Neurospora crassa OR74A: one gene and its partners. The main gene of each other region encodes a partner of the protein of the gene in region 2 in a complex. Links are inferred from orthologs where the notes say so. Each region holds a gene or a part of one and is shown on either strand. Other genes may lie near its edges. The genes, in order: NCU08299, NCU01474, NCU07852, NCU04068, NCU07549, NCU17114 and NCU00952.

The links.
Region 1: NCU01474 (region 2) and NCU08299 share a complex: the UniProt entries of both Saccharomyces cerevisiae proteins name them as parts of the mitochondrial large ribosomal subunit. The link is inferred for Neurospora crassa OR74A from reciprocal best matches to the Saccharomyces cerevisiae genes YML6 and MRPL3.
Region 3: NCU01474 (region 2) and NCU07852 share a complex: the UniProt entries of both Saccharomyces cerevisiae proteins name them as parts of the mitochondrial large ribosomal subunit. The link is inferred for Neurospora crassa OR74A from reciprocal best matches to the Saccharomyces cerevisiae genes YML6 and MRPL23.
Region 4: NCU01474 (region 2) and NCU04068 share a complex: the UniProt entries of both Saccharomyces cerevisiae proteins name them as parts of the mitochondrial large ribosomal subunit. The link is inferred for Neurospora crassa OR74A from reciprocal best matches to the Saccharomyces cerevisiae genes YML6 and MRPL6.
Region 5: NCU01474 (region 2) and NCU07549 share a complex: the UniProt entries of both Saccharomyces cerevisiae proteins name them as parts of the mitochondrial large ribosomal subunit. The link is inferred for Neurospora crassa OR74A from reciprocal best matches to the Saccharomyces cerevisiae genes YML6 and MRPL51.
Region 6: NCU01474 (region 2) and NCU17114 share a complex: the UniProt entries of both Saccharomyces cerevisiae proteins name them as parts of the mitochondrial large ribosomal subunit. The link is inferred for Neurospora crassa OR74A from reciprocal best matches to the Saccharomyces cerevisiae genes YML6 and MRPL39.
Region 7: NCU01474 (region 2) and NCU00952 share a complex: the UniProt entries of both Saccharomyces cerevisiae proteins name them as parts of the mitochondrial large ribosomal subunit. The link is inferred for Neurospora crassa OR74A from reciprocal best matches to the Saccharomyces cerevisiae genes YML6 and MRPL44.

Annotation. Positions count from the first base shown.
Region 1 is NC_026504.1:2,488,204-2,492,403, reverse strand, and holds NCU08299 (mitochondrial 54S ribosomal protein YmL3), read right to left. Parts: upstream 2,801-4,200; 5' UTR 2,511-2,800; coding exon 1,191-2,510; 3' UTR 412-1,190; downstream 1-411. Other genes in the region: NCU08300 (uncharacterized protein), read left to right, coding at 3,298-3,300, 3,385-3,404, 3,513-3,695, 3,810-3,879. UniProt on the Saccharomyces cerevisiae protein: Component of the mitochondrial ribosome (mitoribosome), a dedicated translation machinery responsible for the synthesis of mitochondrial genome-encoded proteins, including at least some of the essential transmembrane subunits of the mitochondrial respiratory chain.
Region 2 is NC_026505.1:4,618,903-4,622,683, reverse strand, and holds NCU01474 (60S ribosomal protein L4), read left to right. Parts: upstream 1-1,425; 5' UTR 1,426-1,817; coding exon 1,818-1,898; intron 1,899-1,977; coding exon 1,978-2,946; 3' UTR 2,947-3,281; downstream 3,282-3,781. Other genes in the region: NCU01473 (mitochondrial large ribosomal subunit YmL35), read right to left, coding at 1-503, 587-1,151. UniProt on the Saccharomyces cerevisiae protein: Component of the mitochondrial ribosome (mitoribosome), a dedicated translation machinery responsible for the synthesis of mitochondrial genome-encoded proteins, including at least some of the essential transmembrane subunits of the mitochondrial respiratory chain.
Region 3 is NC_026503.1:1,107,879-1,111,319, reverse strand, and holds NCU07852 (mitochondrial 54S ribosomal protein YmL23), read right to left. Parts: upstream 2,140-3,441; 5' UTR 1,812-2,139; coding exon 1,791-1,811; intron 1,647-1,790; coding exon 1,116-1,646; 3' UTR 501-1,115; downstream 1-500. Other genes in the region: NCU07853 (uricase), read left to right, coding at 1-87, 172-278; NCU07851 (superoxide dismutase 1 copper chaperone), read left to right, coding at 2,799-2,990, 3,152-3,441. UniProt on the Saccharomyces cerevisiae protein: Component of the mitochondrial ribosome (mitoribosome), a dedicated translation machinery responsible for the synthesis of mitochondrial genome-encoded proteins, including at least some of the essential transmembrane subunits of the mitochondrial respiratory chain.
Region 4 is NC_026506.1:2,634,704-2,638,695, reverse strand, and holds the start of NCU04068 (mitochondrial 54S ribosomal protein YmL16), read right to left. Parts: upstream 2,801-3,992; 5' UTR 2,616-2,800; coding exon 2,330-2,615; intron 2,112-2,329; coding exon 1,998-2,111; intron 1,907-1,997; coding exon 1,539-1,906; 3' UTR 1,388-1,538; coding exon of another isoform or gene 101-1,387; 3' UTR 1-100. Other genes in the region: NCU04069 (3'-phosphoadenosine 5'-phosphatase), read left to right, coding at 101-1,387; NCU04067 (hypothetical protein), read left to right, coding at 3,710-3,803, 3,862-3,992. UniProt on the Saccharomyces cerevisiae protein: Component of the mitochondrial ribosome (mitoribosome), a dedicated translation machinery responsible for the synthesis of mitochondrial genome-encoded proteins, including at least some of the essential transmembrane subunits of the mitochondrial respiratory chain.
Region 5 is NC_026503.1:4,406,055-4,409,154, reverse strand, and holds NCU07549 (mitochondrial 54S ribosomal protein MRPL51), read left to right. Parts: upstream 1-1,164; 5' UTR 1,165-1,345; coding exon 1,346-1,387; intron 1,388-1,471; coding exon 1,472-1,554; intron 1,555-1,856; coding exon 1,857-2,148; 3' UTR 2,149-2,600; downstream 2,601-3,100. Other genes in the region: NCU07548 (hypothetical protein), read right to left, coding at 1-83, 170-297, 404-665; NCU07550 (triosephosphate isomerase), read right to left, coding at 2,685-2,713, 2,777-3,100. UniProt on the Saccharomyces cerevisiae protein: Component of the mitochondrial ribosome (mitoribosome), a dedicated translation machinery responsible for the synthesis of mitochondrial genome-encoded proteins, including at least some of the essential transmembrane subunits of the mitochondrial respiratory chain.
Region 6 is NC_026506.1:2,292,549-2,295,923, reverse strand, and holds NCU17114 (hypothetical protein), read right to left. Parts: upstream 2,030-3,375; 5' UTR 1,741-2,029; coding exon 1,728-1,740; intron 1,597-1,727; coding exon 1,480-1,596; intron 1,057-1,479; coding exon 1,007-1,056; 3' UTR 501-1,006; downstream 1-500. Other genes in the region: NCU03974 (hypothetical protein), read left to right, coding at 1-191; ala (alanine aminotransferase), read left to right, coding at 3,112-3,229. UniProt on the Saccharomyces cerevisiae protein: Component of the mitochondrial ribosome (mitoribosome), a dedicated translation machinery responsible for the synthesis of mitochondrial genome-encoded proteins, including at least some of the essential transmembrane subunits of the mitochondrial respiratory chain.
Region 7 is NC_026501.1:6,595,290-6,598,525, forward strand, and holds NCU00952 (mitochondrial 54S ribosomal protein YmL44), read left to right. Parts: upstream 1-1,414; 5' UTR 1,415-1,708; coding exon 1,709-1,889; intron 1,890-2,054; coding exon 2,055-2,170; 3' UTR 2,171-2,736; downstream 2,737-3,236. Other genes in the region: NCU00953 (hypothetical protein), read right to left, coding at 1-311, 413-762; NCU00951 (inorganic pyrophosphatase), read right to left, coding at 3,058-3,236. UniProt on the Saccharomyces cerevisiae protein: Component of the mitochondrial ribosome (mitoribosome), a dedicated translation machinery responsible for the synthesis of mitochondrial genome-encoded proteins, including at least some of the essential transmembrane subunits of the mitochondrial respiratory chain.

The DNA of each region.
Region 1 (4,200 bases), on a different chromosome or scaffold from region 2:
TACCTTAACAATATGCCAATTCTATAGTTGTCAAAGTCTCCTTCATTGATCCCTTTGCATCAGGTCGCAAGTTCTGATGAACGTGTTTTTGGAAACGTCGTGACAAAGTACCAGGAGGGGGTGAGAAAGTGAGGACGCAACTACAGAGAGAACAGTCCACATTTCATCTCCCCTCTCACCAACTTCATCTTCCTCTCACGTATAAGATAAACAAGAGCAATGTGAAGAAAGCACAAGGCAAAATAGATACTAAACAACCTCTAGTTTGGATGAATGGAAGGCGCGCAAGCTTGGGAGGAACTTCCAGGCTCGATCTCGTCGTCCGGTCTTTTACTCTTGCCGGTTGCGTATTCCCATTTCTTCCTTTACGATGCTTGTTATACAAAACAAGGGCTTACACATCCTGGAATTGTACAATGCGTGTAAATTGCGTAGTACCATATTCTCTCTTACACAGCCTTCTCCTCATGCCAGAGCAGTCAATACGTAGAGGAAGGATTTATCATGTCATGTACTTCGTTGATGCCTCGTAAAAAATTTGACTTCTTAATGCTACACATACAGACGATGATCTTCCTTCTCCCTGGCCTCGGCTACTTTTTTGGTATTATACACTGAGAAAGAAGGACACAGATGCCACCCCGACGAGGGTTGTGTCTCTCTTTGTCGAAAGCAGAGCCAAGCAGCCACCATCCAGACCCTCTTCATTCCCCGTTCCGTCCCAACCCCCCTTTGTATTGGTATATGTGGCGGGGGTGTGCGTGTGTGTACATGTATGTCCGTTGCGCGCAAATCTGTATACAACATCTCGTCTTTGGCAAAAAGAGCAAGAAACAATGGAAGGAAAGGGAGTGACTGGATGGGAGAGGACCATCCATTTAATATCCCCTTCCTTCGCAGGACGGAAATTGCCCGCTCTCAACAGGACAGGACAAGAGTGGAAAGGTAAGCTGAGCTTTTAGACCACACCAACAAAATCCACTCGTTGTTTTGTTTCCCTCTCGATCCTCTTGCGTCGATTTCCACAAGGGGAACCTATCCCGAGTTGATGGGCCGCACAACCAATAAAACCGAGAGTGTAAGCAGGCCATCTGCGACTCTCTTTTTACCTTTCGTTTCATACACTTCCTAAGTTCTCTACTGCCCTGCCGTACTGTCCGCCGCCATGCTCCGTGTTTCAGCCTCCTCATTTAGCGGGAGATAACCTCACCCATATCAATGTATGCTGGCGTCCAGGGCTTGGCACCCTCCTCCAGCATATCACTGGGTACCCGAGGGTTCTCGCCAGGGCTGTAGAGATACCAAGCCTTCAGGGCGTTCATGGCGGCCTTGAAGCGGGCGTGGTCGAGAGAGGAGGCGGCGCCCTCGCCGAGCTTGTCGCTGCCGCTGTATATACCGACAACAAAAACGGGGGTGCGCGACTGGCGACCCGTCTCGGAGAGGAGACGAGCCACGGGGGGCTCGAAATCCTCACGGGCGCAGAGCGCGGCGAGCTCGCGGGTGGGGTACTTGAATTCGAAGAGCTTGGCAATGTCGAGGGTGCGCGACATGATGTGCGCCTTGACAAAGGCCTTGGCGGCCTCGCGGCCGCAGTGGGCGTAGATGGCACCGACGACGGCGCGCACAAAGTAGGCGTGGGCCCGCTCAGCAGCGGCCCGGGTGTCGGGGTTGCCGTAGCGGTCGTAGCTCACGTCCTGGTCCTGCTCATTAGCGACCATCTCGGCCTCCTCCTCGTCGGGAGTCTTGTCCTGATCCTGCTCTTCCATCGCCTTCTCCAGATCGGCGGCAACCTTGGGGTCGCTGCGCACGACATCACCAAAGTCGTCGTCGAGAACGACACGCGAGGCCATACCGCGACGCCACTTGAACTTCTCGAGGTAGGCGAGCTCTGTACGCTTGTAGCCGAAATTTGTGATGGCGACGCCGGGCTTAAGGGCATCGAACTGCAGAAGACCGGGATCCACCTCGCCGCCGGGCACCGCGGCGGTATCAACACCCCATGACCGCGCAATCTGGAGCAAGGGCTTCGGTCCGGCATAAGCCTTCATGGCACTGAAGAGAATTCCCTGGGGTAGACGGGGGTATTTGCAGAGGAGCCATTCGGCAATATGGTAGTTGATGAGGGTCTGGCCAACGAAGGCGAGGTTGGCGTTGTTGAACTGCGGGTTCTCGTCGGCCGAGGCGTCGACCAGTGTCCTTGCCAATGTCTGTAAGGGGATCTTGGGAGAAAGATTCAAACGGGCGTGGAGGGCGGCCAGTTTGGCCGAGGTCAAGGCCCGTTCGGGGAGGGGCGACGGTAGGGACTCGGCCGCGGGGGGGAGGGGCTCAAGCGGGGGGAACCGATCATTGTTGAGATCGTGGGATGCATCGTGCTGAGCGAGGGCAGCTGTCGATTGCGATCGCACCGAGATTGCAGATCGGGATCGGATGGCGGCAGTGGCGGGCGACACTCCGGAGCGAGCGGCGACGAGCAGCCGGCTCGTCAAGCTGGGCGTTGCTATCCTCTTCATGGGCGATATATTTGATGGGTGATGGTCGGCTCGACAACCGGGTGTTGACGTGCTGGGGCCCAGGTTCCGTAAGTGTGCGCCGTCTGGAGGCCCTGCCAAGAAAAGGATGGAGTGAGGGAAATCGGACGGGCAGGTGGTGAGCCGGTGGTCGCGGGGTGGGAAGCTACTCGGGATCCCGGTCGGAGTCGCGCGTTGATCGGATGGGTTCTCGTTCAGACTCGGCCGGCCGTCGAACACGGGTAGAAAAAAAAAGTTCTCCAATCTGAACGCTCACCACCCGTACACTAGACAAGCCCACCACCCAGAGCCGTGAATCAGTGCTCAAGCGCAGGGGTTACTCCCCCAAGACCGAGACATAAAAGCCGGCTGACATGATTCGTTGTTGGCCCAGTGAGGGTCCCCACAAGATCCATCTTCGACCCCAATCCACTATCTGCGCTGTCTGTTTAGCATACGGTGCACTGTGGTGGACAAGCGGGAGCTGCCCGCCCGCCGCCCGCCGCCCGTCTGTCGCATGCGCCCTCGGCCCCAGTTAGGACGAGTGACATGGTGACTTTCAGGCCTGGATGGTTGATGCGATTTAGCCCCTCGTCAGCCTGTAGGCGGATTCATCATTCGTCCTTCTATCCAATTGTTCCCGCTGAAGCATCACCACTATTGTGCCGTCGTTCGCAGTGCATCGCAAAGTTGACAGTACAAACCGATCTTGCTTAACTGCGAGGTGGAAAGAATCATTCCTCGTTGAACGTCCAACCTACCTCACCACATATCCCAAAACTTCATCACAATGGTGCGTATCCACCCGATTGCTTAGAATAGCCATCATCACTACTATGTTTTGTGTCTGCTAACTCTCTATTTTTCCTGTCTATAGGGCGGCGGTCCCCAAGTTCCGTGAGTTTCATCGCCCTCGACATGCGCAAACCCTCCGCGCATTCTGTCCAACCCAGCCTGCGTTGTGTCATGGATCCGTCCTAATCGTTGCCTCGCCCTTCACTCCAGCTACCCCAAACACGTCTGGTCGCCTTCGGGTGGTTGGTACGCCCAGCCGGCCAACTGGAAGAAGAACACGGCTGTTCTCGGTGGCGTCGTCTTCCTCATCACTGCCGCAGTCTGGAAGCTTAGCGCCGAGAAAGAGTACCGTCACAAGATGCCCGAGCCTGGTCGCTTTTATCCCAGCAGATAGTATGTCCTGGCAGACAGACCCCCATCCAAATTTTTATACATGCGTAACGTTTTCCGCGAGCGCAGACCGCGGGGATGTTCTTAAGCTGACGCAACCGATATTACCTCCACTAGCTGGAGCAGACAGATTATCGAGTATGAGCGGGCGCAAAAGGAGAACGGGACGACACAGGAGAAAAAGTAAATTTGGGCATAGGCCCTGCCACCCCGGCCGTTTGGTCATACAGTACATGGCTTCCAAAGGCTTGATGGAATAACAGGACATCTTGGCTTGGTTGAGGCCGGCCGGTTGGTGGTAGTAATGCAATATTCGGAATACATTCAACGTCGGTTACCCTCCGCTGGCCGTCTTGCGTTGGTGCTCCAGAGCCTGGCTACGTCGTGAATAAAGCTAACTTTGATGTGGATCAGTTCTGTAATGGATTATAGAGGAAACTACCTCTATTCTTACCGTTTCGTACTATTGGCGAATACTAGTGAACTCACAGAGAAGAGCCCACCTTCC
Region 2 (3,781 bases):
GCCGTCGATCTTGGCACCGGGCTTTTGCTCAAGCACGAAGACGTTGAGGCGGTGGTAGGGCGAACCCTTTTGCGCGAAGGGGGGAAGCCAGGGCTTGCCGACGTCGCCCTCGACGCGGTCGCCGACGCTGCGCAGGGAGAGAACCGTCTTCGACGGGTCCCATGGGATGTTGGCCGCCAGGAAGTGGCAGCGACGCTTGAAGTTGTCGTGCGTGACGTCGGGAACGTCCGAGTCGATGACGACGACAGTGAGGAGGCGCTCGCCCTTGTCGAAGACTTGCATGCGAAGTGTGGGTGCAACCTCGGTCACGCGCGAGTCGAGGATGGCTCCCGGGGAAACCTGGTAGCCACGGAAGGAAAGCTTGACGTCCATGGTCGGGTCGAAGGCGGGCAGAAGGTCGGGAACGACGTGGAACTGCGAGATACGCTGCGCAATGATTTTGTAGTCCATGGAACGCCAGCGGCGCTCGGCCATGAAACGGTAGACGGGCTTGGTCATGTCACCTGGAGGCAGAGAAACGTGTTCGTTAGACTGAGACTTGCGAAGCGGAGTAAACGTCATAAGAAAAGGAAAGGAAAATACAAACCTCTGCCATCCTCGAAACGCCTCTTCACTTCGGGGTCGTTGATGTCGGCCAGAATCTTGAGCTCCTCAATATACTTCCTCAAGCTCTTGATCCGTGTCTGCTTGGCGGCCTCGCCGCCCTCGAACTCGCTGGCATCCCGCGCCTCGATCAGCTTGATCTTCTCCGTCTCCTTGACAATCTGGGCGATTTTGGCCGCGCGGTCCTGCTGCAGGATCTTGCGCGCATCCTGGAAACACTGGTACGGCAGCTGCTCGAAGGGGAGGTTGCCGGTGGTGGCCAGGGCGGCCCTTCTCCTTCGCGACCCAAGCTCTGGACCTCCGACTACTGTGTCTGCTACTGTCGCCTTAGCCTCGGTTGCCGAAGGAAGGGGTGGTGGTGTTGTGGTGGAGTCGACAGGAGAGGTGGTGGTGGTGGTGGTGGCGCCCTCCTCTTTGCGCATCGGGGTCGAGGAGAAGGGCCTAACGGCGGCAACGGCGACGGACCGGGTCGAACATGTCGCAGCGCCGGGGCCGGTTTGCCGGAGACAGCGGACGAGTGGCCGCGCGACCTGCTGACACGTCGACATGGCGGGTGGGAATGTGTGCAGGCGGGCCGGAGGGGAGAGTATTGGAAGTGCGGGATCGCTCTCAATCGAGAGGAGCTGCACTCAAGGTTTCGTCGACGGGGAGGACGGGGTCAAGGACGGGACAGGGACGGGACGGAGGGTTCGTTGGTCCTTCAATTCGTTCCATGCTGCAGCCCACCTGCCCGGACTCGAACTGCGGCCAAAATTTCGTGGACCCCGGGGCCGGCAGCACAGTGCGCTCATTGGAAGTACTTATAGTGGGGGTTGCAGAGTAGCGGGCGTGCCCCGCGAGAAAGCTCGCCAGAAACGGGTACTCGATGGCTGCAGCGCACTGTACGTGCACGTTGCCCGCACTCCAGATCTTTTTTCTCCAGACTCCGTCCAGTCCCCTCGTCGGCCGAATCGTTGCGACTTGACTGGGAGGACCGGCGCCCGCGACGACCACCGCATATCCCGTCAGAGCCCCCGTCTCGGTCCCGTTCCGTTGTCCCTCCCTCGCCCCGAAGCGCGCTCCACGTTTCCGTCCGCACAGGCCCGTGGTTGCTAGTCTCTCTTTTCCTCCCGCGAACAACTGCCTCGAGCACCACCATATCATACCTGACCTCCACTACATCCGAGTTGCATTAACTTGTAACTCCCGTCACCTTGCCATATCACAACGCCGCCATGGCCGGCAAGGGTCTCAAGAGCCTCAACGAGGCCATGAATGCGCTGAGCATTGCTTCCAAGTCATGCAGGGCACTGCCGGTTTGTCCTCCATATGTCCACCGTCTTGCTACTGACCCGCCTACGACTTTCGCTCACCAGTACAAACCATGTCCACTAGATGCGCCAATCCTCTATTCTTCCCTGCAGACGGTCGATGGCCTCCGTAGCCACCCCTCCTGCCGCCAATATCACAAGATCGGTCTCGGAACCATGGCAACCCAGTATGAGCACCAACACGACTGCCAACCTCGACAACATCGCCCGCGCTGGAAAGGTACTAACCCACGATTCAGTCACCAACGTTCCTGTGACCGTCTATTCCTTCCCCGAACTCGAGCCGCGCTCCCTCGAATCCTACTCAGCCCGTCACCTTCACCTCCCGCTGCGTCGCGATATCCTCCACTTGGCCGTCATCTACGAAGGTGACTCGACACGACGGGGCATGGCGTCTACAAAGACACGCTACGAAGTTCATGGTTCGCACAAGAAGATGAGTCCCCAGAAGGGTACCGGTAACGCCCGTCGTGGTACCCGCCAGTCACCTCTGATGAAAGGTGGTGGAAAGACCTTCGGCCCCAAGCCCCGCGACTTCAGCACGAAGCTTAACAAGAAGGTCTACGATTTGGCCTGGCGCACCGCGCTGTCCTACCGCTACAAGCGCGGCGAGCTCATCGTCACCGAGGACGGCCTCGACCTCCCCCTTCCCAACGATTTCCTCTGGCTTGCCGGCGGCGGTAAGCTCAGCCGTGAGCTTGAGGACGGCTACGTCCGCAAGTGGGTTCACGAGTTCATGACCAGCTTGAACTGGGGCAAGGAGGCTGGCCGGACGACCTTTATCACGGGCGACAAGCGCCCCAACCTCTTCACTGGATTCGAGTTGGCCGGTGCCGAGGGTCGCGCTTTGGAGTTGTGGGATGTCGATGTCAAGGATCTTTTGGAGACGGGCAGGATAGTGATTGAGCGCAGCGCGCTCAAGGAGATGATCGAGGACCACCAAAGCGACCTCGTCACCCGTGTAGCAGTCCAAGGGCTCCGCCAAAAGGGTCCCAATCTGGGTGAGGTGCTCGTCAGGGCGCCGAGATACTAGACAGGGAAGAAGATGGAGAAGAAGCAGCAGCAGCAGAAGTGAATGTGTGTGTGCAACCACCGGCAACACTCTTGTACCATATGAATCGCGCAAGGAGGGCGGACTGAAGAAGACGGTTTGTCCAGCACGATGAGTGTAATATTCATGTTCCTTTGTACGGTGTACCTACACGAGTTTCCCTTGTTATTCGGAAGCAATTGGCTTGCCTTGTTCCCTCTCTGCATTGTGATAATAAGCGAGAACTGTGTAAAAGCCAAGGGGTTAAGTAGAACGGTATAGTAGTCTGTGACTGTGACACAGTTATGCGCAACTAAAATGTCATTTCTTGGAGTGAAGTTGCAGTGTTTCATTCACCACTCACTACTGCTGGCAATGCCTGGGCAGCCTTGCCGGTATGACCCCTTTGCCAACAGGAACTGCAGTGAAGTGAACAACTGAAGATGGAAAGAGGACGAGATGGAAGTTGCAGCCAACAGCCAACAGCCGACTGCCTGAACAGCTTGGCAGTCCCGCCTCAGCCCGCTGCCGGCCCGCCATGGAATTCCTCCCGGAATTTGCACTGGTGCACGGACCAAGGCTCGGGACCTCCCCGCGCCTATTTAACCAAGCCAACCCTTCCCCCAATCTTCAACTTTCCTTCTCCTTTTTTTTTTCCTCCATCCAAGTGCAGGGGTTTTACGCGTATCAGTGAGGATTCGTCCGAGATCGCGTTTTTGCTAGTTGAAAACTACATACCTGACCGCTCTCAGTTGGCTTCGGCTGGCTGGGGAATTTTTGGCAACCCACAATCCTTTCTCGGACTGGAGATTTCTTCATTTTTTTCTTCATCTTTCAA
Region 3 (3,441 bases), on a different chromosome or scaffold from region 2:
ACAAGATGTGCGAGCAGATCTTGGATGCGGTACCCGAGACGGAGAAGACCAACTATTCGCTACCCAACAAGCACTACTTTGAAGTTGGTGAGTACCCCTTTCGCAAATCCACCAAAAAAAAAAAAAATAGGTCCAGATAAATTTACACTAACACCCAAAAAAAAAAAACAGATCTCAGTTGGCACAAGGGCCTCCAGAACACCGGCAAGGACGCCGAGGTGTACGCTCCCCAGTCTGGTCCCAACGGTCTCATCAAATGCGAGGTCTCTCGCTCGTAAGACTGTTGAACTTTGTTTTTAAAACGTCACACATGTTTCTTTGGCTTTCTTTTATGATATCACCATTTTTTTTTCTTCTTTTTTTTTGCATTCCCCCTCACGTTCCGAGGGGTTGGTTGGCGGGCAGGCGTACGTTTTGAAGGTGGAAAGATGATGATACCTTGATGCAACGGATCATCATGAGACGGAGGCTATGGACATCTTGACTGGCGCTAATTTTCAGGGGTAATCAAATAAACTTCCTATTATGAACAAGCAAGCATCCGAAAAGCACTGCTAGCTGCACTCTCGAATTACCAAGTGAAAAAATATGCCGTGAAATCGGTGAGGCTGACTTTTTGCCTTCGCGGGCCTTCAGCGTGTTGGACATGAGGATCTGCTCATCGCTTATCAGATCAAACAATCAATGAGTCTAAACAGCTCTCATGAGTCGTAATCATGGTATCTTGTTGAGTGATATATTTGTACAATGAGAGGCCCCCTTTTTCTAACCCAAGTTCGTACACTGTCCGTTGCGCGCTGGGCTCATGAACCGGCTTCCCATGTAATATACAGACTGACACTGGCGGCATTGCCCGTGAATCACACGGCCAAGTGGGCTGTAACAGACACAAGAACACACGAGAGAGATTTCTCGCCCCAACGAGGTGGTTGTCCACACAATCTTCCTCACAGTTGACAGAGTTCTCAGTCTTCGTCGGCTAGATGGTTCGTAACGGCTCGATGTAGATTCGTCCCTACATCTCTTTCTCTCCCGTTTCTCTGACACTCTTCCATGAGTAGATAGCCAGCTCCAGCGCCTTCAACCAGACCTTCACACCTCAAAGCCATGGTCGCTCATAACCTCTCCATGTCCGCCTCCCGGATAGCCTTGACAGCCTCCTCCCAACCTGGAGCGCCCACCACCTTACCGCCAAATCGCACCAAGTTCTCCTTGTACGGGTGCGCATCACCCTCAAACGCCTTGAGCCTCGCCAGTCTCTTGTCGCGCAGCCTGTTCTTGGGAAGCATGCCGCTGACGGCCTTGCGCAGCACCTCGGCGCCGCCGTGCTTCTCCATCAGCGCATCCATGGTGATGGCCTGTAGCGAACCGGGCCGGGTGTTGTGGCGGTAGTACGTCTTGCGCCACTTCTTGTGGCCCGTCGTGTACAAACCCGCGCAGTTGGTCACCACGACGTAGTCGCCGCAGTCGGTGGAGGGATCCCAGATCGGCTTGTGCTTGCCCATCAGGATGGTGGCAATGCGCGAGGCGAGGCGACCGAGAGAAGGGGGAGTGATGGCCTCGGAAGGAGCCTTGATGGTCGAGAGGGTGGGGTGAGGGGTGACGGCGGAGATGTGGTGCCAGACACGGGAGTAGGCTAGTCGGGTCTACACGTTCGTCGCAAGACGGCGGTGGTTAGTGACGGGTGGTGGAGGTGGTGGTGGTGGTGGCGGGAGGGCGAGCAAGTGCCAAAATTGTAAGAAACACGACGAAATTATGGGACAGTTGTGTCCGAACAGGAAGAAACTTACAGCTCCGACTGTTTGCGACATGTTGACGGTGTTGCGCGGTGGTGATGTAGGTCGTATACTATGGTGTTCAAGAGAGGATTAAGGTGGAGAAGGCAGGTATGAAAACCAGTGGGAACGAGTCCCTCATCGACTGGTGGTAAGTGAACCTCTATGTGTTATCGTCCGGGTCAATTGAATGACACGGGATCGGGCGGGCTCCGGAGTGTTCGAGACGGCGGGTTCGGCAGGCGCGAGAAAGTCCGGGGCTTGTCGCGGCGAACGGGTATCAAATGTGGTCCGGTATCACGGGAAGCAGAATGGAGCTCCTGCAGAAGGGCAGCAGCAGAGCCTGCCAAGCCCAAAAGCTGCAATCACTTTTCTTGCCGGAAAATTTCCACGTACGATTGGGGCACGACGGCCCGCTGGCGGTTGGCGGGGTGGCTACGGTGGTCCGCAAGTCTTAGTGTGTAATTGAGGAAAGCACTAACAAACACCAACTCGGCGCACTTAGAGCTCTCTTTTACTGATGTCCCATGTACCAAAGCCTGCACTTCCTTTCCCGGTACATATCACACGCTTTCGGGGAGCAGGATTGCCCTGGCTTGGGCCGATCGAGGAGCCGGACACAGCGGAGCCCCAGTTGGTCGCCCGCAAAAAGTGGTCCCAGAAAGGTGCCGTCGCTTTGAAATCAACATTTTGGCAGGCCGACATCTACCTTCCTGCCGTCTTACAGTGAAGATGGGAAAACGACATTTCGCACTCCAGTGAGGTGACTTCATGCACTCTCTTGTCGAGAAACAATGAGGAATCTCAGCACAAGAGTCGCATTTACCCCGTCTCTTAAGCATCCGTAGACTGGAGCCAAAACGTTATTAATTGTACCTAGTCGTCCCCTCCTTCGCCGAACGTGGGGCTCTCCTCCATCGCCTTCTATACAAATCCATCGTCTCACGTTGGTGTTGCTTCTCACACCACCACTTCTATACTGTCCTCAGTATTGTCTTTGCTACCTCTTAGTGCCTGAAACCGATGCCACCGTACACGGCCAGACAAATCCTAAGTATTTCTAGTCTAGCTTTAGCAGGTTTTGGAGGCGCATACCTTTGGCAACAACGCCAACAACATAGGAACTATTTTCAGTCACAGTCATCCCCGGCTGCTCCCAAATCATCAATCCCGAAGATAGCCGGCAACATGGCTTCCATCACAACCCCCTTCAAGGTTTGTTTATACCCTTTTACAGCCTCATTTTCATATATGCCTACATATGAGCTTCGGTCCAAGCCCTTCCTTTTCTTTAGATAAAGGGTCCAAGCCTGTCTCACATATCTGACTCACCTTGACATACTTCCAGAGGCACATCATACTAACTCATTTCACAGACTCTCTTCGCCGTGCCCATGCACTGCGAAAGCTGCGTGAACGACGTCTCCGGTGCACTCTACAAGCTCCCCGGAATCAACAAAGTGGAGGCCAACCTGAAGGACCAGCTGCTCACGATAGAAGGCACGGCCGCGCCTTCCGCCATCGTCAACGCCATCCAGTCCACGGGCCGTGACGCCATCCTGCGCGGTTCCGGCGACTCTCAAGGCGCGGCCGTCAGCATCCTCGAGACTTACCACAAGCCCACCCTAGACAAGATCACGCCCGCCCCGGGAGCCTCGGACCGCAT
Region 4 (3,992 bases), on a different chromosome or scaffold from region 2:
GCCAGAATCCCAAGTTCAACCACTCAACAACTTGGACTGAATACGTATTCCGGTTACGGATTGAAAATTCCCCGAGGTTTATCGATCCTCTCGCGGCTGTATGACTGTGGATAAGATCAAACAGCAGAAAAAGGCATCGTCCCATACTTTCTACTCCAAAATTCTCTTCGTTTTCTCCCTCATCGTCCTCATCCTGGCTATCTTCAGTTCCCGCATCTCCTTTCCCCGGCTTTCCCTCATTGCGAGCCATTTGACTGGCAGTGCCAACACAATCACAGCAACCAGCCGCTCAACCATTACAACTACATCTACACAGAAGATGGCCTCTTCCCAGTACGCAAAGGAGCTCGAGGTAGCTCAGCTCGCCGTCCAGCGGGCCGCCCGCCTCACCAAGCGCGTCTTCCACGAGAAGGCCAAGGGCACCGTTTCCAAGGACGACAAGTCCCCTGTGACCATTGGCGACTTTGGCGCTCAGGCGCTCATCATCAGCGCCCTCAAGGCCAACTTTCCTTCGGACGAGATTGTGGCTGAGGAGGAGGCCGCTCAGCTGCGCGAGGACACCCCCCTGCGGGACCAGATCTGGGAGCTCGTCAAGTCCACCAAGCTTGACGATGAGGCTGCCGAGCAACTCCTTGGCGGCGCCATCAAGGATGCCGACGCGATGCTGGAGATCATCGACCAGGGCAACAGCAAGGGCGGCGCCAAGGGCAGGATATGGACTATCGACCCCATCGACGGCACCAAGGGCTTCCTGCGCGGTGGACAGTATGCCGTGTGCTTGGGACTGATGGTGGACGGTGACGTCAAGGTCGGTGTTCTCGGTTGCCCGAACCTGCCTGTGGACGACGCTGCGCCGTTGGCTGCGGATATCGGCACCAATGCGACCGATGAGGGCCGGGGTGTCATCTTCTCGGCCGTTCAGGGCCAAGGCGCGACTAGCAGACCCCTGGGCACCGCCGGTCTTGCGGAGGGCAAGTCCATTGCGATGAAGCCTATTACAGAGATGTCCAACGCCAGCTTCTGCGAGAGCGTGGAGGCGGGTCACTCGGATCAGGGCGTGGCTGGACAGATTGCGCAGAAGCTCGGGATCACCAAGCCTAGTGTGCGCATGGATTCCCAGGCCAAGTACGGCTCTATTGCTCGCGGCGCGGGTGATATCTACCTCCGTCTGCCTACTTCCAAGTCTTACCAGGAGAAGATCTGGGATCACGCTGCTGGAGATCTGATTGTGCGTGAGGCTGGTGGTCAGGTTACCGACGTGAGTGGAAACCGCCTGGATTTCAGCGTCGGCCGCACGTTGGCTGAAAACAAGGGTGTCATTGCGGCGCCTGCTGCGGTCCACGACCAGGTCATCAAGGTCGTTCAGGAAGTTCTCGGGCAGCAGTAAAGCCTCGGTGTCATAGTGTACAGGTTATGGCAGGTATCGGGCCGTTATGAGGCCATGTGTGTGCCAAAAAAAATAATAGACTAAATGTACAATATTCCCCCCTTATCCTCATCAACAACCATATCAGCCACCAAAACCCACCGCGCGTCCTCTATTTGATCTTCTTCTGCTTCAACTTGATGGTCTCGCCGTTGACAAAGATACCCTTACCCTTGTAGGGTTCCGGTACACGCCACCTCCTGATATCAGCGGCGAAGGTCATGACCTGCTCTCTGTTGATGCCCTCAAGCAGGATTCTTGTCGGCTGCGGCGTGCTGGCCTTCATGCCCTTGGGAACGCCCATCTCGACGGGGTGGGAGAAACCGAGCTTGAGGCAGACGAACTGCTGGCCGGGGTATTCCTCCTTCTCGGGGCGGGTGTCGATTGTAGCTCTGTAACCGATACCGACCAAACGCAACACGGCCGTGTGACCTTCTGATACACCCATAATGAAGCGGTTGAGGTACGCCCATGTTGTTCCTGTTTTGTCCAAGAAAGATTCGAAATCGTCAGCTGACTGGCCGCCCGTAACTTTCCACATTCTCCAAGACAAGGAAGGTGTTTGCCATACCCCACATCTCTCTCTGCTCCTTCTCGTCCCGGTTCGCTACGCTGAGGGTCGCTCTCCTTGCCTCGGCGTCGTGGTCGATCTTGATGAAGTCGGGAATGTCCATCTCGAGTTGTCCTGTGAAAAAGCACACGCACACGTGCAACAAGTCAGCCAGCTGCTCTGCTCCCATCCTAGTCCCCTTTGCACTCTCGCGCAAACACCCATAAACAACGTTCTCTCTCGGGCCTCTCCCAGCCCATCTGTTGCGCCCGCTCCAGTTTCGTTGCGTATCCTCAAATAAAACACCCATCTGGTCCTTTTGCCAAGTCGATTTTACAATAGAACAAACTAACCCAACGGGCCCTGCACCGTAATCTTGCGCTTAGGCTGCTGCTTCCACTGCGTCATGTCGCGCTTGACGAAGGGCTCGCCAATGGTGATCTCGACGCCAGGAGGGATACTGAGCGGGGTGCGGCCGAGCTTGGACGGGCGGGTTGTCGTCGCGGAAAAGTTGCGCCGGGCGGCGGCACCGGCAGTCTGTTGGAAGGCGGGCACCAGGAAGCCGGGGAGTGTGACGACGGGAGAAGATGAGGAAGAGGCAACGGCCTCAAGGACCCTCCTTCGGCTTGGGGCGAACATCGTGGTGAGTGTCGTCGTCGTCGGCAGGGTGGTGGCCGTCGTCACGATGCGGAACCGGAATTGGCGAAGAGACGCGGCGCTCCAGTTCGGAGGTTCTGGCAGTCGCAAGGGCAGCACCGAGTCAATGGCAAGCCGGCCGGGTGGTGGGATGAACCGAGTGGATCTTCGGAGAGCTCCAAAAAATGTATCGGACCTGACGCGGCACAGCAATGCAGCTAGTGATTGGCTGTAAATACAACAGGGTTAGGGTCGTATCCGCATAGTCTCGCTGCTGCTATTCGCTTGGGCTAAGAAACAACGACGAACACCAACAGATGTTATTCCATCCGACATCATTCATCTCGAGTAAGAAATCTTCAAAAAGAAAATGGCACAGGGCGTGGAAGTGTAGAGTTTACTCGATGGAACATATTGTTTCACAATATTCAGATTGAATGTTGAATTAATCTCCCGTTCGACAATCGTCCAGCTTTCCGATGACGACTTTACGGATGCCAACCTCACGATAGTCATCACCACCCAGAACACCCGTCACGGTCGAAGTCTTCCAAACTGTCTCAAGCGAGCTGTTTGCACTTTCTCGATACCGGATGAAAAGATGCAGATTCCAGTGATGTCAAGACAAGTGGTCTACAGCCCAAATCTTTGTCTAGGCTCGCTTCTGTTGGAGAGGACAGCGTCACATCAGACGATTAAGAACCAGCAAAAGTCGAGCTCGGCAGACAATCACAGTCATATTCGATGCGAACTTCAAGTGAAGTCATTTCACACGAAACCTTTTCGCGGTTTCACAATCCTGTGATTCTTGTCCCGCTAAATTCAAGTCCGCTTCTCTTATCCTGGGCAGTCGCGATCGCCAACTTACCCTCATACACCTTCCTTCCTTCCCTCTCTTGAATCGCTCCTTCTCTTCAAAAACACCACAGAATTTTCAGTTGCATGGCCACAAACTTCGATCGCCAAAATTGCACTACCAATATTGCCAGAATCTCCATTTCTTACTGCCGAAGTCCCTTCGACGGCACTCTTCTGGACGCATCTGACTTTATCAGTATATCATCATCAGCCTGTCGCATTGCACTTACATGACAACTATGGCCAGGAAGCTTCTCTTCACGGCTCTCTGTGCCGTTACAGCTACACCTTCTCTGGCCTTTTCGTGGGGAGGTGAAAGAAAAGTGGCAGTTCGTAAGTAATATCAGAGCACTGCCTGCAGGGCTTGACTAATAATATGACCGCAACACAGCCGACCATCAAGTCAACATCGACCGCAACATCCAGCCTTCGGATCTGCTTCGAGCGTCCTCACGCCTACCAAATATCTACGCCGTCGCCCTAAGTGAACTTCAAGAACTCGAATCAGAACCGTTTTGCCAT
Region 5 (3,100 bases), on a different chromosome or scaffold from region 2:
AAAACGACAAAAGCATAGCCACGATGGGGCTTTTTCTTCTTGTTTGGGTTCTCATCGGCGTGGGTATCTCTGATGATACGGATCTGTTTTTTGGTGTCAGTTCTTGTCAATTAACACACACATAGCTGTGAAATCATGATATAGGAGGAGGGGGGGTTTGCAAACTCACACGCTCGATAGGACCGTAGCGGCTAAACTCGCGCTCGAGATCCTGTTCATCAGCACGGTAGTCAAGACGCGCTACTATCAACGTCTTGAAAGCATCTCCTCTGATGTTGGGATCGTCATTAGGGTTGTCTACAGATAAACGCCATCGGTTAGCAAGCCGCACGACAGCAAGATCATGATCAAGTAAAGGAGTAGCGAGCACAACTGCGCGTAACGTTGGGGGTTTGCCGCGTACAATTCTTGGGACCCTCGGTCAACAGCTTCTCCAAAGCTTCCTTCTTCTCGCGCTTCTTGCGGTCGCGCGCCTCCAGCCAGCTCTCGGTGGGATGGTACTCGTATTCTTGCTCGTAGGCCTGCATGGCAGGAAGGAAGTCGGCAACGGGGGTGATGAAGGCCGACTTGCGCTCTTCGGGAGCAACATCGCAGGGCGGCACCCAGCGCAGAGGTGGCCGGGGCGCAAAGAGTGCGAGGAGGTTAGGCGGGAGCCGGTCTGTCATTGTCGCTTCACGTTGTCGCTGTTGTAGCTGGTCAAGTGGTGTTTTTTTGTTGATCTTATCTGTCGTCGAATTATGAAATCGATATGTCGGAAACCAGGAAATGTAGGTCGTCTGGCGTTTGATCCACTGTTCGGAAAGCCGGGCGAGAACAGTTCAATAAGGCTGAACGCTGTTACTGTTTGCCAATTCTTGTGATGGCGATAATGTGGTGTTGTCGGTTTGCGAGAAAGGTCAAACCCGCATTTTCGCGACTTTGCTTGGACAGCTGAAGACGAGAGACAGAGGGTGGGAGGCGGGAGCAGCAAAGGGCCCTGTCTGGTGTTGTGTCGTCCACTGCCTGGCAGCCTCGCAGCGACTGGAGCTCTTGCTGGGCAGCTTTCTCGCGCGCTCGACCACCGAACGACTGAGTGCGAAAGAGGGACCGTGCACCCTTAGGTCGTCTTCGTTATCACTACGCACACACCCAAGGAGGAGTGCAATCGCGTGAAATTGATTCTGCCAACCGCTTTTGCAGTTGGGCGGGTCCCCCACCCCCAGTGCCGTGCCGGCGCGCGACGGGGCGGGAGTCTGGCAGAAGTTCAAGTCGCACCCGCCCTCCGGATCATGAACCCTGGTGGACTCGGACTTGTTGCAAGGCGAGGACGGCGGCGAAGAAGAAGAAGAAGAAGAGCATCACAACAATGACGGTAAAAGCATTGACGCAGATCTCCTCTGCCGGCCGTGTAAGTTAGACCGCAGCCTGAGCAACTAAAAACTTTAATTTTCAGAAAAAAAAGAATGCTAATCGTTGATTGTTTTGTATCTAGAATGGCGTCGGCGCATTCGTCTTGCAGTGCAAGAAGTTGGACATCCACTACAGTGACTGGGCCGGCAGCTCCCGGGGCATGAAGTACGTTTAGGATTCTTCGAATATGGACATCGCAACCTCATTCCCGATCGAACATCTTTCACATATACCAATACCTCTACACGTCCAACCAAACCGACATCCTCCCAAGATCTCGAGACCATCCCGCCGTCCCCGACCATCCATCCATCCATCCATCCACCACTACATACCCTTTTTCTCGTCCCTCCTCGTCCCTCCTCGTCCCTCCTCGTCCCTCCTCGTCCCTCCTTATCCCTCCAGTCTCCCTTCGCGACCTCAGCAGACAGACTCTTTCACTAACACTTACTTCTTCCTCCATCTAGCGGCTTCATCAAATCCCTCCTCCCCAAATTCGCCGCCGCCAACCCGCAAATCGAGTTCGTCGTCTCTCCCCGGCCCGCCAAGCACCCGATCCTCATGGGCCACTACATCAACGGGCGCACCAAGGCCATTTGCGTGCGCAACATGGAGCCGCTCGAGATCCTCAAGAAGGCCGAGCTCCTCCGCGACGCGAGCGGCGAGAAGCCCCAGAAGTTCAAGAAGCCCGTCACCAGCACGAACCCCAGTGTCAGAGGTGTCTGGTCGCCTTACCATGGGCAGGGTATGGCTGTATAAAGCGGAAAAAGGGGGAGGAGCAGGTGCTGGTGCTGGTGCTGGAATGGACTGGATCGGTGCTGGGCTGGATTTGGTGCTCGGCCGGTGTTGGCTCGGTTCAGTACCAGGTGGATTGTATATACCATGTTGAATGTATGAATATGAATTGAGGACATGAAAAGGGTTTCTGGATGTATCAAGGGTTTCGGTTTGGCTATATGGTTGTGATCAAGTCCTTCCAGAGCTATCGAGTTCCCATGATGAGTTGCCCCAGTTCCAAAGAATCTGACATTATCTTCTGGTGCTTGGTGGTTGACTGTTGATATTGGAACTTGGGATGAACATCTAAGAGCGAATGGAGGAGCCGCGGAGTTGCGGTATCTGGTGTCACAGAAGTCATGAACGGGCTACATGAAGCGAAACTACGTTCTTCAATCCCAAATCGAACAAAATCAGGACATTTAACTATTTTATATTTTCGCCGTGTCCTCAACACCATTTCCCAGCCTATATGATTGCGGCTGTAGCAAAGCTATAACTTTTTATGGGCAAGTAATTTACAGGTTGGCGTTGATGATGTCCACGACTGCATCATATCATGTTAGCCATCTTTCTTCCTCTCGTTGCAACAATGGCAGGTAGTACTTACACTCGGGCTTCAAGCTGGCACCGCCAACAAGGAAACCGTCAATGTCCTGCTCCTTGGCAAGGTCCTTGCAGTTCTTGGCGTTGACAGAGCCACCGTAGAGGATGCGGGTCTCCTCAGCAACCTTGTCGCTGACGTTCTGCTTGAGCCAGCTGCGGATGGCGGCGTGCACCTCCTGGGCCTGCTCCTTGGTGGCGACGAGGCCGGTGCCAATGGCCCAGATGGGCTCGTACGCGATAACGACGTTCTTCCAGTCGTTGATCTCCTTGGCGAGAGCGGCGAGCTGGTTCTCGACGAACTTGATGGTCTCGCCGGCCTGGCGCGTGT
Region 6 (3,375 bases), on a different chromosome or scaffold from region 2:
TTGATCCTGCGGAAAACACCAACTCGGTCAGTCAAACGAACGGCGAGTCCCAATCACGGTCTCAGTCCCAGCCACTTTCGCGATACGGGGGCGCCAATGATGAGACCCAAGACTCCATGACCCTCTCGCAGAATGCAAACAAAGAAGACGGAGATGACTTGCCTCTGCCTCCGCCTGGGAATAAGTTATGATCCATATGTCGATGCATGGCGTATTTGTGTGGATTGGAGACTGTGTTTCGAATGAATTGAGATTCAATATGTATACGACGAGAAGAGTGTGAAAGAACGCCTGTAAAATGTTGGGAGACGGGTCTTGTGACTAATGAAAAGTTTGATTTCCACGAAAATATAGAAAGATGAGATAAAGCGATGTACGATGGCAAGAAAAGTCAAAGATGTCGAGGTGTCATGACAGACTGTCTGATCGCGATAGAAGAGTTATCCTTACCACACAACACAAGAGAAGGGAGAGCCACTTGGCAGTGAACCTGGGTCACGCCCAGCATTGCCGACGGCCGAGGGGCGTTGTGCTTATCTCTTGACTTGTACATTCTCTAATCAACCTGGCCCATCGGTAGAGCGAAGAAGCAACAAACGCTCCATGGTGCCAATCCATAACTCACAGGGTGATGTTATATACTGATGGATCGGTGGTACAGTAATAATACACGACCAGAGACTGGATGGAACGAGGGACCCCATCTTATTCTTGCGCCTCTCTTCTCCATATATCCAGTCCAGTTCCGGTCCGGTCCACCCCCCTCTCCAGCTCCAGCTCCAACTCACTCGCCAGCACTGGCCATTGTCTGCTGGTGATCTGCTTGAAACACAACCCGGTCGAAATCGTAACTTGGTGTGACGTGGTAATCCGTGGAGGGGGTGCTGTAGCTTTTTACTTGTCGCTGCTTCGCCGCTACGCTCTTTGATTCCGTATCGCAGGCTCCGCGTTCTCGCTCTGGCTCTCGGTCGTTCGACGGTCGTTAGGCCCGGGGGCGAGTAACGATCTATGACCTGCCCTTGCGTTTCTGTTCGAGGAAGAGGACCTTGCGGCGAACTATGGTGGAGAGGCGAAAGGGTTAGTAGGTATTCCTTCCTCTTCGAGATCCGTGATTGGGAAAAATTGTCTGTCGTAGGCAAGTGTTTCTTCCGTCCCCTCCTCTCTTCTCTGTTGGCCGGTTGGTTGGCTGGTTGCTTTTTTTTTTTTCTTTTCTCGAAGGTCCGTACGTTATGCCATCGTCCGAGTCTTTGAACTGTTGCGTCCCAGCCTGATCCCAGTCCTAGTCCCAGTCCCAAGCGAGCTTCCCAAGGTCCGTTCGACGAAGCGTATTGGGGTGTTTCGAATCGTGCAAATCGAGAAAGCCCGCAACCAAAAAGAGTTCCATATCATGCCCGTGTCGTCGTGTCCGCCGAATCAATCATGTAGGTGGTTGGAAGCGAAAGAGGTAGATAGGAATGAGGGGAGAGGATATGCGCATACCGATCGGATCGTATTTCAGCATGCTCATAGGCAGCGAGGTACGGGGACGGGTGAAGGTGTAGAAATAACCCGTCATGGCCATTGAGATCAGGCGCACGTTAATGATGCGGGACTTGGCTGTTTGTTGTTTACCTATCAGCAACTATCGTCTTCTGTTTTCGGTTTCCGGTTTCCCCATTGCATCGCTTTTCCCTTTAGGAAAACAAAGCAGTAATTGCAGACACACGGGTGAGGATGGAGTCGATTACCCTTCTTCGCCATGTTGAACGACTTTTGTTGCGCTGTTGTGGTGTGCAACGGCGCGCCTGGACTGGACTGGATCAAGTGCGGTACGGCGACGGGCGACGGGCTGGGGCTCGTCCGGACGGAGAGGTTCGCAAACTGCGGGCGGAGGGCGGGCGGATTCACGGAGCACGGTCTTTGCGCCGGAAGCTCTCCAATCGACGTCGGGTCGTCCGCGCTTCTTGCGATTGCGATTGTAGATTTTGCCTGCCGGCCCGCCGGGGGTGCGTGGGCCGTGGTGGGGCTGTGGGTGGGTCGTGTGCGCTCCTAGCTGGGCTTGGCAGGTGGCTGCCCGCGGTTTAGTGTACTTGTAGGATCGGTGAAGGCAAGGTGAGGAACAAGCTGAGTGTAGTGAGCTGAGAGCTCACCGAGGAACCCCAGAGGCCTTGGCCAAAACACAACGGGCGTGATATCTATCAGAACATCTCACACAAATTTATTGACAACATCAACACCTTTGCTGGGCTTGTACACTGAGAGAGATGTATTCAAGAACATAAATTTGATATTTGTGTACCGTAATTTCAACATGGTGACCGTTGACAGCACTGTGGCTGTAATCATGCCCGTCCCGCCAACAAGGCGCTGGAAGGGAACTGTGTAAGTCGACGAAAAGGATAGTTCCTGGATACTAGATATAGTCCACTGGTCCTACACATGCCGCAGCTACCTCTAGAGGTAGAATACAACGGCCCGGATTTAACGTTGGCTTGTCAGGCAGCACAGCACAGCAGCAGCTTATCTTGGCGGCTACGAAACAGCTCAGCGATACCGCCTCGTCTGGCGGATAGCAGTCCGAATCAGAATATGGCATTTGTTTGATTGACTCTCCATACTGTACCAAGACTGTAGTCTCGATTCGGACCTCTGCGACCCCGCCAGAAATGGATCGCGGGAGCAAAACCGGACCGGAACGAAGACTCTTTTGTAACAAAAAGTTCTAGACCACACCGCTTTCCGTGCTCCTGTTTCGGAGCTCATTAGTTCAGTTTGGGTTGCTACATTTGATGAAAAAAAGAAAAAAAAAAAAAAGTTCGTGTGTTCTTCTGCGTGCTATCTTTCCCCCCCCCCCCCCCCCCCCCCATTCATAGTGTCTTTGCGTCTGCTGTGTCGAATGCGGTTTGAAAACCCAACCCAACTGACATAAACTGGACTCAGCCCTAAATCACATCCCGTCCTCTCGGTACTCTCGGAGCGAGTCAGCGCACCATCAACGACAAGTTCTTCTCCCGTTCACCTTTGACGGCATCTCCGGGAGTCCTGTCCCCCCCCACCCGGCAGTATCGAGACCCTCCTCCCCTCATCCATCAATACGTACACTTCATCAGAAAGAGATCGACAATCGCATCGATGGCTGCCGGACTGTCAAACGCCCTCAAGACCGCCCGTCACCGGCTGCCGAGCGCGGCCGTGAGAAATTATTCAATCCCTGTTCAGCAGTCGGCGTGGGGTCCGGCGACATGCGGAGGTAAGGATCACCAAACCCTTGCCATTCGCCAAAGCGGCGCGAGTTTCTCGTCCGACCGACGCGGATCGATGTGCTTTATTGCGTCGCTTTCACCTTCCCGAACGTACCGTTGCTTCCTCTTGTCCCGAACTTCCCCAACTTTCTTT
Region 7 (3,236 bases), on a different chromosome or scaffold from region 2:
TTTGGTGCTGTTTGCGACGGCGGTTGCCGAAGAGGGCTTGGCGGGGGTCGAGAGGAGGAGCATCTGACGAAGCGGCGGCGGCGGGGGTTGAGAGAGGGGGTGGAGACGTCGTCGACGAGGTTGGTTGAGCACCACCGCTGGGGGCAGCAGCAGTAGATACGGGTGTTGAGGCGCCTGATCCGCGGTCTGATGCGGCGAGGTTGGCGGCGACGGCAACGTAGGAGGCTAAGAGGAGCTGGCGCTCGAGGCGCTGGGCGGTTTCAAGGTTGCGGCGCGCCGCGAGTTGGGCTTTGCGGAAGGAGGTTCGACAGCTGTATTTTTTTGAGACGCAATTTTGTTAGGTACGTTGTTTATCTTCATCTTCATCATCGTCATCACCATCCAGGCTGAAAAGATGAGAAACAAAACTCACCCCTTAAGCTCGGCAGCCAAGCGTTGCGCGCCCTCCTTTAACCTCGTCTTTTGATGTTCCGCCTCACTCCCTGGGCGGCCGGAGCGCAAGTCGATAATCTCCTCCTGCAGCAACTCCAAATCCTCCTCCTCCTCGCGCAAGACCTGGCTGATTTCGGCGCTCAAGTCAGCGGCCTCACTGTTGGTGGTTCCATCGGCGCCAGTGTTCGCGAGACTGCTGATGCTGTTGCTCAAAGGAACGGAACCGGGCTCGAATTTGAGCGTGGCGAGACGCTCGATGAGGTCCTTAAGCTGGCCGGTCGTCTCTTGGAGGGCCGTGAGCCGCTCTTGAAGCGTTTCGAATGTTGACATTAGTGACTTGTTGTATTATGTCGGTATTGCATTCGTAGGGAGTTGACTCGGTAAAGGTAGATAGATATGTGTTGGAAAAAGGTGGATGTGTAACAAATGGTTTCCATGGATCGTAGTCGGATCCCACTTAGGTACCTGGTGTTGATCAGCAGCTGTGCTGTTGTTGATAATTAGTGGAAACCTGGCCTGAAAGGAGAGCACTGTAGCGATGTTCAATGGAAGTTCTCGGTGGGCGTGGCTCTTGCAACGTCATCCTCAAGGTCAATGAAAACGGATCACATGCGGAATTCGGTAACGGAGTTCAAGTTACAACTCGCTGGGGCAAATGGGAGTACGTACTGTTGCGCTGAAGGAACAAAGCACAAACTTACACACTCAGGGCTACAGACTAACACAATGTAATAGAAGGCCAGAAGTGATTCTCTTCCCGTTCAGAAGATTAAAAAGATGTATTATGTCAATTGATCTGATGTAGTGTAAATATGAATGCAAAATCGAGCCTGACACCGTTTGATCCCAGTTGGCTCCCAACCAATCACAGCCCATCTCTCACACGTAGCACGCGCCGTCCCGCATTCTCCGTTTTACAAAAAACACCCCTCCCGGTCCCCGGCGCAATCGGTACGTACCTCCAGTAATTTTTGATCGCATCCCTCCTCCACGCTGCCGGCCGGCGCCAGGCACGAAGACCGAATCGAAGTCCAAATCGCGACACACAAGCTACGTACCCCGTCCGATCCTCCACAGAGACCCGTCTCCCGTCTCCCGCGTCTCCGTATCCGTCCCCGTCCGGTGTGCAGTGCAGTCCCGTCGTCGCAAATTCGCAAAGTCGCAGTCAGGCCTCCGCGTTCCTCCTGCTTCTTCTTCTTCTTCTTCTTCCTCCCCGAACCCAACCCCAACACGACCTCAGGTCACCACCACCACCACCCGAGAGACCTCGCCCAACATGCTCACCCGCTTCATCACCGACGTATCAACGCGCTTCAACCCTTTCTCGGCCAAGGCCAAGGCCGCCCGGCTCTTCCTCTCCTTCCTCCCTCCCAACGCCCGCTCCAATGGCATGAACATCACCACCCAGCTTCTGCCGCGGAATTCCACCGAGACTCCTTTGCTCTACGTCAAGTTCAGTACGTTTTCCCAATGTCTCTCTTCTTGTCACTTGCAACTCTGTCACACATCGACGGACCGCCGTTGCAGTTGGTTGTTGCAATTTGGATCATTCCGGCTGGAAGGCAATCAAGAGTCGTTAGCTGTGAATCAAGCCGTAGTCTAACGTATTTGAAAAAAAACAGAGGACGGCAAGGAAATGAACCTCGACGTTGAGAACATGGGCATCAAAAGCATTGTCGAGGAGGTGGATCGCCACTCTCGTATCCTTCAGAAGCAGGCCGACTTGAACGACGGTTAACCGAATCTCTGTCTTTCTTTTCTTCTTCAAAACCCAGCAATCTCGAGACGCCCTTGTTGTGTTTTGATCCACCAATCGAACTTTGCGGGTAAAACGAGGGAGACTGAGACTAGGAAAAAGGAGGGAAAAGCCACGGGAAGAGCGACGAAAGCCCATCTTGTCTTGATACCCAGACTACTTGGCTTTGGTCCGTGGTACCAAAATGACGATTGACCGGGAGGAGAAGAGGAAAAGTCTGGATATCTAAAGGCACATTCGAATCACCTGGGTAAAGCCAGCGAGCTTGGAGCCGGATACCTGACGACCTCTCTGAGAGATCTGTAAGATCGCCTTACCAGCCAAAAAGAAGAAAACAACAACAAAAGATATGAACCTGTATTTGTATTGGGCAAGAGGTTGTAAGTGTACACCAACAGCATTGGGAGGCGTTAAGGGGCCGGCGATTTTCAGTTGGCAAGGCAGTTTGGGTACCTGTTGTTATAGACATGCGTATATAGCACCTCTGCCATGGATTGATTCACACACATCACGGTACGCCCATTTTGACAAAGTCAAAGTTGAGATCGGCCTTTTTTTTTTTTTTTGTTTTTGTTTTGGCGACCGTGTTTCCTTCGATGGGGAATTCATCAACGGTATCGGTATATTTCAACGGCGAAACTCATGGCGCAAGAATGTCGAGCATCTCCTCGACAAGTCCCTATCCCACGGCATGGACTACAGCCTCAGAAATGGCCAATCTCTGACCGCGCATACCTTGTTGCAAAGACGTTCGACTCTACGCAAAACAACGCATGAGGGTAACACCATGGAGGATTGTTCACGACGAATTGACCAATACAACAAAGTGCCAATAAATTATCTTTATTCTACCTCAACAAACGAACTCTCTAAGCGGAAGCACCGCTGATGAAGAACCACTTGTCGATGGAGCTATCGATAGGGGCAGGGGGGAGATTCTCGTTGGGAGGGAGGGGAGGAAGCTGGTCAGGGGCAACACGGCTGCTGGAGTGCTGGACAGTGACGTTGGTGGTGGAGACACCGCCAGGGGCAGTCTTGCCGGTGATGA